Macaca fascicularis: one gene and its partner. The protein of the gene in region 1 interacts with the protein of each later gene in a biochemical or structural test. Links are inferred from orthologs where the notes say so. Each region holds a gene or a part of one and is shown on either strand. Other genes may lie near its edges.

Region 1 (4,332 bases):
AAGACATAGTTCACAAAACAACAGTTATGAACCAACAAATACTTGGTTCACGGTTATAAGCCATTGAAGTCAGTCAGACTTAAGGACAACTAGACAGAGCTCCCATTTTCTGTCATCTGGGCAGGAACCAATCTCCTTTTGTATCAAATGGCCTTCTGGTACATTCTGGAATCTTGCTTCCTCATCTATTTAGTGAGGCTAATACCGCTTACTTGTAGTTTTGTTGTAAACTAAGATAAAGCCTGACATATTACTCATTTTAAAATTGTACACACAGACCCTGCTTTAACCAGATGCCTGCAAATACTCAGGTTTTCCTTCTACATATAGAAGACAACTTATCAGCTGCCAGGGCTGAAGCCAGCAGATATGGCTAAATGACAGAACAAAGGATTATGCCAATAAACTATGCAAAGCTTCCTTGCCCAGAATATAAATCAAACAGAGTAAAAAGCGAGTATATTGGCTCCAGGAAAAGGAGCAAGGACAGCCAGTTTTCAGGCGACCTCGAATTCTCTCCGTTTAGGATTCACCAACCCTAAGGTCCACTGGGTCCTTCAATCTGAGGGTCCATCCAGGGCCTTCCCTCCTGGGGTTGGAGATGGCTAGCTGCCTGATGGAGAGACCCCAGGCTGCTCAGCAGCAACGCCTGGCACAGCCGAGACAGCCTCGTAGTCTGCGATGCGGCGCTGTACCAGGGCAGGCATGAGCTGCACGTAAGCGGCCATGAGGCGGTGGTTGGAATGGATCAGCTTCCCAGCACAGCTGTGCAGACAGGCCTCCTAGAAGGAAGATAGGGTTTAAGCGGAGGACAAAGGTGTCCTGTCGGGCCCGCCTCCGTCCTTCCCCATGCACAGCCTAGGGGTGAGGGTCTGGGAAGGCCAGGACCAGAGGTAGGGGAAGTGGGGTGAGGAGGGAAGCAGTCTACCGCTAAACTCTGTTTGCAGCGTAACCTCCTTACACAGTTCCCCACCTCCTCAGCGTCCAGAGCTCGGTGGTGCAAGCTGGGCACACAACGCTGGAAGCAGAGTTCTGTCATCCGATTGTAGACCAACAGGAAGTCACGCAGCTGGGAGAAAACCGGGACCACGAACTCAGCGATATGTGCCCCACACTTCTACTCAAGGTCGCGCCGCCCAAAGTTTCCCAGGCCCGCGCACCATAACCCGAAGTTTCCAGCCCTCAGATCCCTGGCTCTATGGGGTTTCCGCGATGTGTGCAGGAATGCGAGCTGAACGTCTGGCCCCGAAACGACTTAGTTCTCACTCACGTTTCTCAGTTGCTGTTGCTGCTGCTGCTGCTCCATCACGCCACCGGCGCATGCTCTACGCCACTTCCTTTTCAGCTTCTCGGTGCCGCCCCGGAAGTAACCTCTCGCTGCTCTCGAGAACCAAGCTAGAGTATCGCCCTGCCCCGGCTTCGACGTCACTTCCGCCCTTATAATCTGCGACGTGGCCGGCTTCTTCTGCCCGGAGAGGACGTCACTTCCGCCGAGTCCCTGACCTGCTGCTAGGATCGCGACGGGAACTGGAGCCCGAGGTCCCCGCGCGGCCCGGGCCTGGCGCCCTGAGGGGAAGAGCGGCCCGGCCCGAGGTGAGAGGGACATGCTTGGGCGACGGGAAGTTGAACGCACAAACCTGTCCAGAGGGCAAGATGCCCCGAGCCCTGGGGAAGAATGAGGACACACCTGATGTCCAGGTGTATGGGGGTGGGGGCGGGGACTCACATACCTGGGAGACTGACTGTGGAAGGGATCACCGATATCCTGGTAAAGACAGGCTTTTGCCAGAGACTGGGAACATACACCAACTGATCTAACTAAGGCCTGGTGGGGAGGGCCCAAGGAAGAGGAGTTGTATGAGACGGAGGAGGGGAGACCCCCTGAAGGAAGGGGGAAGAAACACTAAAGGAGTGAGAAAGGCCAAGCAATGGAGAACAAACCTGAATGGGGGGTGAAGACCTGAGCCCTGGAAAGGGTCCATCTCCTGCTCAGCATAAACACGCCTGCATGGAGATAAGTTCTAAGAGAGCTACTTTCCCTCTTCACTGTTGTATTTTCATTGTCACAAATAGTACCTGACACAGAGTAGGCACTCACTAAATGTCTGCTGAATGACTGAATGAGTGTAGAATAATCACCAGAGGCCTGGTGAGGTTGGGGGCTTGTGAGAAGACACCGTGCTTTGGTGTGCCTGTGTACAAATGTGCATTTTGGAGGGGAGAAATACATATACCTGAAGAAAGGAATGATGACCAAACGCTGGGACACTCAAACCCTGGGACAGCCTTTAAAGAAATGACAGAGGAGGCTTCCTTCTTCTAGAGTGCTGGCCAGTGCCCAGAACTTCTGTGTTGGGCTTTGCAGGGTGCTGGGGTGGAGAGTTTTACTCCAATACCTTTCCTAGCCATGACGGACGGGATCCTAGGGAAGGCAGCCACAATGGAGATCCCTATCCACGGGAACGGTGAAGCCAGGCAGCTTCCTGAAGATGATGGGCTGGAGCAGGTGCTTCTGTTTGATTCTTCTAATTGTTTCAATTTAGGAATCCAATTTATAAATCCTGGGTTCTCACCCTCCATTCCAGTAGCCTTCCCCTGAACTTATCTGACTCCCTTAATTTTACATATCATTTTGATTCTGTGCAGACTTCCCTTGTGTAGTGTCTTTATGATGCTTGAATCCAAACTTGTTCCCACCTCCAAAATGCTTCTGCAGTCCCTATGTTCCTGAAGCAACCCCTCTTCTCTGGCCTATAGGACCTCCAGCAAGTGATGGTGTCAGGACCCAACCTCAATGAAACCAGCATTGTGTCTGGTGGCTATGGGGGCTCTGGTGATGGACTCATCCCCACAGGTATGAACAGAAACAGGAAGCTTGGGTGGAGGAGGGGACAGGAATGGTTTGGGGAAGCATAGGATATGTCTAGGAAAGCTTGAATAATGTCTGGAGATCTTAGGAACTTCTGCTTGTAGGAATCCCATGGACTCTCCTCAGCCCAAAAGCAACTCCCAGCATTGTCCATCCATTTCCCTTTTGCCACTTGGCCCCTGAAATGGCTCATTCGTCCTTTCCCTGCCACCACCTGAGTCAAGTTAAGACCTACTTCACAGGAATGCCCCCGCTCTACAGCTTGAGGCTGAGTTGGAACTTTGTGAGGCTTTTCAGAATTTTTAGATTCTAAAGTTTAGAGGAACAAACAGCCCTGAATCTCACACTAAGATTCCACATGGGAATGCAACCAGGTTTCTTGTTATCATGACCCACCATCCTTGACTCCTGCTGCCCCCAAACTCAGTGTATTTTCTTCTGTTTCCTCTGCCCCTATACACCAACAACTCCCTGCAAACCTCTCCTCTGGCCTCCAAGGAGGCCATATGTATATCAGGATTTGGTTATCACTGTGCAAGGTCCGAGTTCCTCCTAGTAAACAGGAGAATCCAGTTGTCTCTAGCATCTCCTTCAGGGAAGTCAATTTCATGTGCTGGGAGAGAAGCATGGGTGGGGCCACAGAGGTGTCTGGTGTATCTGAGAGAGGCTGGTGTCAGAGAACTTGATCCTTTAGGGTCTGGCCGCCATCCATCTCACAGCACCACTCCTGCTGGCCCTGGAGATGAGGTGGCTCGGGGCATTGCTGGAGAAAAGTTTGACATCGTCAAGAAATGGGGCATCAACACCTATAAGGTAGGATTTGAGCACCTCTCACTTCCCCAAAACTCGTTATGGGTACCTTTTTCCCCTTTCCTCATGATCGTAATATCCCATCTGTGGCTGAGAGTAGGAGCCTGGGTGGCGTTGGGGTAGATACCTGTTGTGTCGGGAGGCTATTAGGGTCTCTGATCTATTGCCCCGTTTCCCAATCAGTGCACAAAGCAACTGTTATCAGAACGATTTGGTCGAGGCTCACGGACTGTGGACCTGGAGCTAGAGCTGCAGATTGAGTTGCTGCGTGAGACGAAGCGCAAGTATGAGAGTGTCCTGCAGCTGGGCCGGGCACTGACAGCCCACCTCTACAGCCTGCTGCAGACCCAGCATGCACTAGGTGATGCCTTTGCTGACCTCAGCCAGAAGTCCCCAGAGCTTCAGGTGCCTCACCCAGACCAAAGAGGGTGGGGGAACTGGGCATGGGCCCTCCCAGGCAGTCATTCGTCATCCTCCCTCCCTCCTGCAGCCCACAGGGAGAACCCCTTCAGGGTGGGCCCAGCCCTACCCCCAGCAGCACTCACCTGTGGAGGCAGCCTAAGGGTTTGTACAGAGGTCCAGAAGTTGGAGGGGGTGGGGGAGGGGGCACACTAGGTGCTTCACAAATAACCCCTCTCTGCATTGGGGAGAAT
Region 2 (4,354 bases), on another chromosome or scaffold:
CCAGTCCAGACCATCATAGAGACCTGTGCCTTGGGTGGCACAGGTGGCCTGGACATACCACTGTGGGGAAAAGGAAAGAAAGAGGTCAGCAACCAGGAACAAAAGGGCCTTTATATCCCTGTCCCAGCCTGTGGCCTCCCTAAAGAGGCAGGATTCAGCACCAGGTGGGCAGGACCCTTACCGTGCGGCTGCGCAAGTGCTGTAGCCCCAGCTTGTCAGTCAGCTCGCTCACGGGCATGGCGTTGGGCATGTCTTGCTTGTTGGCAAATACCAGCAGCACTGCATCCCGCAGCTCGTCCTCCTGCAGCTGAGAGGGGAGAAGAGAAGATGGGACCCAGGCTGCGTCTTCTTTACTGTATGGGGAATTCCCTTTCTACCTCCTAGGATCTTGATTGGAAAAAAAAATATTGTGTAGTCTGCCACTGAAGACAAGACATAGTTATAAATGCGCTTGAGGTGACCTGAGCCATAAGTCCAGAAATGAAAGACCTTTTCCTAATTTGAGTACTTGCCTAGGCAAAATGACAACATTTCCAAATGGAAAAGGCAAGAATGTAAAATGTTTCTCTTTACCACATATAAGTCCCATTTCCCCTGCAACTTCTCAGACTCAGATGTAAAGACATGAGAATGCAGCTGGGCGCGGTGGCTCATGCCTGTAATCCCAGCACTTTGGGAGGCTGGGGCAGGTGGATCACCTGAGGTCGGGAGTTCGAGACCAGCCCGGCCAACATGGTGAAACCCTATCTCAGCTAAAAATACAAAAATTAGCTGGGCATGGCAGAAGGCGCCCATAATCCCAGCTACTCGGGAGGCTGAGGCAGGAGAATTGCTTGAACCCGGGAGGCAGAGGTTGAGCCGAGATTGTGCCTTTGCACTCCAGCCTGGGCAACAAGAGCAAAACACCATCTCAAAAAAAAAAAAAAAAAAAGACACGAGAATGCACAGAAAGTCAGTCCCATCCAAAACGGTGAGATACACAATGTATCTGTCCATAAAGAAAAACTTGTATTTCTGGTCTTCAATGCTTGTTGGGGGCTCCCTGACTTCTATAGCACTAGAGAGATCACTCTGTCCCCAACCTGAGGGTTCAGTTCCCAGGGCTCTGGGTACTTACCATCTTCTGGAGTTCATCAGCAGATTCTTGGACCCGCTCCCGGTCATTACTGTCCACCACAAAGATGAGGCCCTGGGCAAGAAGGAAGAAAGGAGAAGCAATCACTCCTGCCTGGGACATACTGTAGTGTGGCCCTTTCTCTTCTCTTGCCGTCTGTAATTGTGTCAATCCTTCTCATCTAGTAAACGCTACAGAAGTTTACAGAACTCCATAGAAGCTCTACAGAAGTCCCAGCACAAACTAGAGACCCCACCGCAAAGAAGTAGTAGTTTATCTAAAGAAGTGCAAGGAAATAAAGACATGTGATGAGGGCTAAATCAGGCAGCCTGGCCCCAGAATCCTGCTTCTAAAGAGAAGTTCAAGCTGGTGAAGACTAAGGTGAGCTCTGAAGAGTGAGTAGAGGGTAGCCAAACAGAGGGGGGAGAAGCGGGGAAGGGTTTTCTCCTTGGCCTGGGGGCCCAGCCCAGGCCAACAATTCTGTTCTCCCAGCCCTAACACCTTTTCCCGTGGGGTTAGAGTCCCCTCCCAACACTCCACCTGAGTGTTCTGGAAGTAGTGCCGCCACAGAGGCCGAATCTTGTCCTGGCCTCCCACGTCCCAGACTGTGAAACAGATGTTCTTATATTCCACTGTTTCTACATTGAAGCCTGCAGATAATTGGGAAAAAAAAATATGAGAAAAACTCCTGAAAGGAGGGAACTCACTGAAACTACTTAGATCTCAGCAGGGACACAAAACCAGAAGGCAATGATCAAGGCCCAGGGGAACAGAACCCCAGAACTGCCGGTCAACAGGGCGGGGCTAGGTCACATCCACCCCGCCTCCGGTATCCACGTAGAGATACCCTGACCCACTTCTCAAATAGCTGTATCTGGTGTCAGGGTCAGCTCCAGAAAAGTGGCAGAACTGGGAGCAGACCCCGAGAGGGCCCGCCGCGGCGCTCCCGCTCCCTGCTTCGTCCCCGGGCTCACCTATGGTTGGGATGGTGGTGACAATCTCCCCCAACTTCAGTTTGTACAGGATTGTGGTCTTGCCAGCCGCATCCAAGCCAACTGCAACGGAGAGGGGCACAGGGATGGAGATGGGAGCGAGGGAGCCCCCTAGAGACCAGGGAAAATGAAGAGGCCACAACAGCTGATGGTGACGGGGGCGGAGAGCGGGAGCGCCTCCAGGTGCGCGTCGTTATCTACCTTCGGGGCCTGGAGGGCAGTTGGGTGGCGTGAGCCAACTCCAAAGAGGGCGCGGCGCGGGAAAGGGCTGGGATGCAAGGGGCACGGGGGGTAGGCCGCGCTCCTTTTAAAAGTCGTCTCCAAGGGCGGAATCCTCCCTTCTTATCAGCCGGGCAGGGGCGGAGGGAGCTTCACCCCACCCAGGCCCGCAGCTCCGGGTGTCAGGCCCCGGGGTCGGCGCTGCAGACCGGGACCCGCCCGAGAGCTGAGGCCCCGGGGCGTTAGGAGGTGGGTGACTCGGGGCCAGAGCCCCAGGTGAGCGGGGCTGGAGGGACGCGGGGGCGGAAGGGCTGCGCCGGGGCCGGCGCCCCGGTCCGGGCCGCGCGCTCGATCTGCCTCACCCATGAGAATCCGCATCTGCTTCTTCCCGAAGATCCGCGAAAAGAGCGCGGACACGGTGAGGCCCATGGCGGGGCCCGGGGAGGGGGCGCGGGCACCGACGCGGGGTGCGGGCTGGAACTGGCCGGCCGCGGGGGGATGGGGCGCAGCAGCAGCAGGAGGAGGCTCCGCCACCGCCTCCGCGCGTCGCTGCCCTCCCGACGTCACCGCGGGCCCGCCCCCACCCGGGCCCCGCCCCCGGCTCTGGGCCCCGCCCCACCCCGGGCCTGGCTGCTGGGGAAGCCGAAGCTCCGCGAGTAGCCGCCTCTGGCCTGGGTCCCGCGCTGCCCTTATTTGGGAACGGGTCTGGGTCTCCAATGTGCCTGTCAGGCCTATGGCCGCCAAACCGGCAGCCCGAGCGCGGCTGAGGAAAGGCTTCATCGCTCCGCATCGGCCTCTGCCCCCATTTTCAGTGGCCGGCCGCTGGGCTTTGGTTTGTGGCGTCCAGGCCGCTAGGGCTCCGGTTTTAGCTCTTGGGAACCAGTAGCACTGAACGTGCGCACCACTCTCCTTTGGGGAGCGGAAGATGCGCTTAGGGGTCTTGGTCCTCCCTTTACCGCCTCATCTTCCACTGAGGATCTTGCGCGTAGGAGGTGGTCGTTTGAAGAGTGCGCCGGAGGTAGGGGTAGGTGCCCAAGTGCTAGCTAGCTTCCATGGTTCCTCAAAACGCCTACTTCGTAATTCCCAATCAGCGGAACCAGTGTAAGATTCCCGGCCTTGGGCGGCGTGGTCGCAGACCCACTCCTGGGCTGTTGAAGTCCACCTTCGCTTAGATCGCCCTGCGGGCCCCGCCTCTCAGTCCAGGCGCTGGCCGCTTTGCTGAAGGGCCTCATTTTGCCACAGACTGGTGGACCTGGCTTATTCTTGCACACCCATTCAGGATTTTGTGAGGATCTTGACTCCCTAGACCCAAAGAGCTTCACATGTCATTTCCCTGCCTCATTTTAGCATCTGAGAGGAGAATAGCAAAATAGGAATGAAATTCTTCTGCGGTGGAGACTGGCTCAATGCCATGCATTTAATATAGGCCTAACAAATGCTTGTTCAGTTGAACTGGACTGATAGATTCCCAATGGAGCAAGGGCAGGTGTTATGCCTACTCTGGGTTCCCAGTGGGCTTCTAGGATCAATTGTTTATGGACTCGAGGTAAACTGAGCTGGGAATAAAAAACCCTTCATTCATTCATTTGCTTTTTCAGCAGATATTTACTGTGCACCCACCACATGCCAGCACGTGGTTTCAGGCTTTAGTTCAAATCTTAATTCTGCCATTTCTTGAGGATTTGGCTTCAACACTCCTCATAACTCTTCTGTTATTTCGTCATCTATAAAAGGAGACTTGTTCTAACTTAAGGGGTTATGGTGAATATTAAAATGATGAGATAATGTGACTGAGTGTTATGTATAATACAGCTTGATGTTATTTGGGCCACTGAGAAACGGGGTCTGAACAGACCTCCAGGTCCTGCCCCATCCTGACCTGCAAAGTCTATACCAAGGACAGACTTTGGGAAACAGATAGGAGTGAGTGCATGACTTTCCTTTTTCCTTCAGTCATAGATTTGCATCACTAAGAAGGCTTTTATGAGGCTGAAGAGTACATTTTAGAGAGTTCCAATATAATAACAGA

Evidence for each region.
Region 2: the proteins of ARFIP2 (region 1) and ARF5 form a complex in vitro, tested with the Homo sapiens proteins (2 studies listed by BioGRID). The link is inferred for Macaca fascicularis from reciprocal best matches to the Homo sapiens genes ARFIP2 and ARF5.

Annotation. Positions count from the first base shown.
Region 1 is NC_088388.1:59,599,372-59,603,703, forward strand, and holds the start of ARFIP2 (arfaptin-2), read left to right. Parts: upstream 1-1,492; 5' UTR 1,493-1,593; intron 1,594-2,365; 5' UTR 2,366-2,407; coding exon 2,408-2,506; intron 2,507-2,757; coding exon 2,758-2,854; intron 2,855-3,563; coding exon 3,564-3,682; intron 3,683-3,862; coding exon 3,863-4,084; intron 4,085-4,169; exon of another isoform or gene 4,170-4,243; intron 4,244-4,332. Other genes in the region: TIMM10B (mitochondrial import inner membrane translocase subunit Tim10 B), read right to left, coding at 606-782, 974-1,069, 1,271-1,306. UniProt on the Homo sapiens protein: Plays a role in constitutive metalloproteinase (MMP) secretion from the trans Golgi network. May have important functions during vesicle biogenesis at certain cargo subdomains, which could be predominantly utilized by secreted MMPs, such as MMP7 and MMP2.
Region 2 is NC_088377.1:169,261,602-169,265,955, reverse strand, and holds the start of ARF5 (ADP-ribosylation factor 5), read right to left. Parts: upstream 2,844-4,354; 5' UTR 2,755-2,843; coding exon 2,688-2,754; intron 2,170-2,687; coding exon 2,089-2,169; intron 1,765-2,088; coding exon 1,655-1,764; intron 1,190-1,654; coding exon 1,118-1,189; intron 308-1,117; coding exon 182-307; intron 61-181; coding exon 1-60.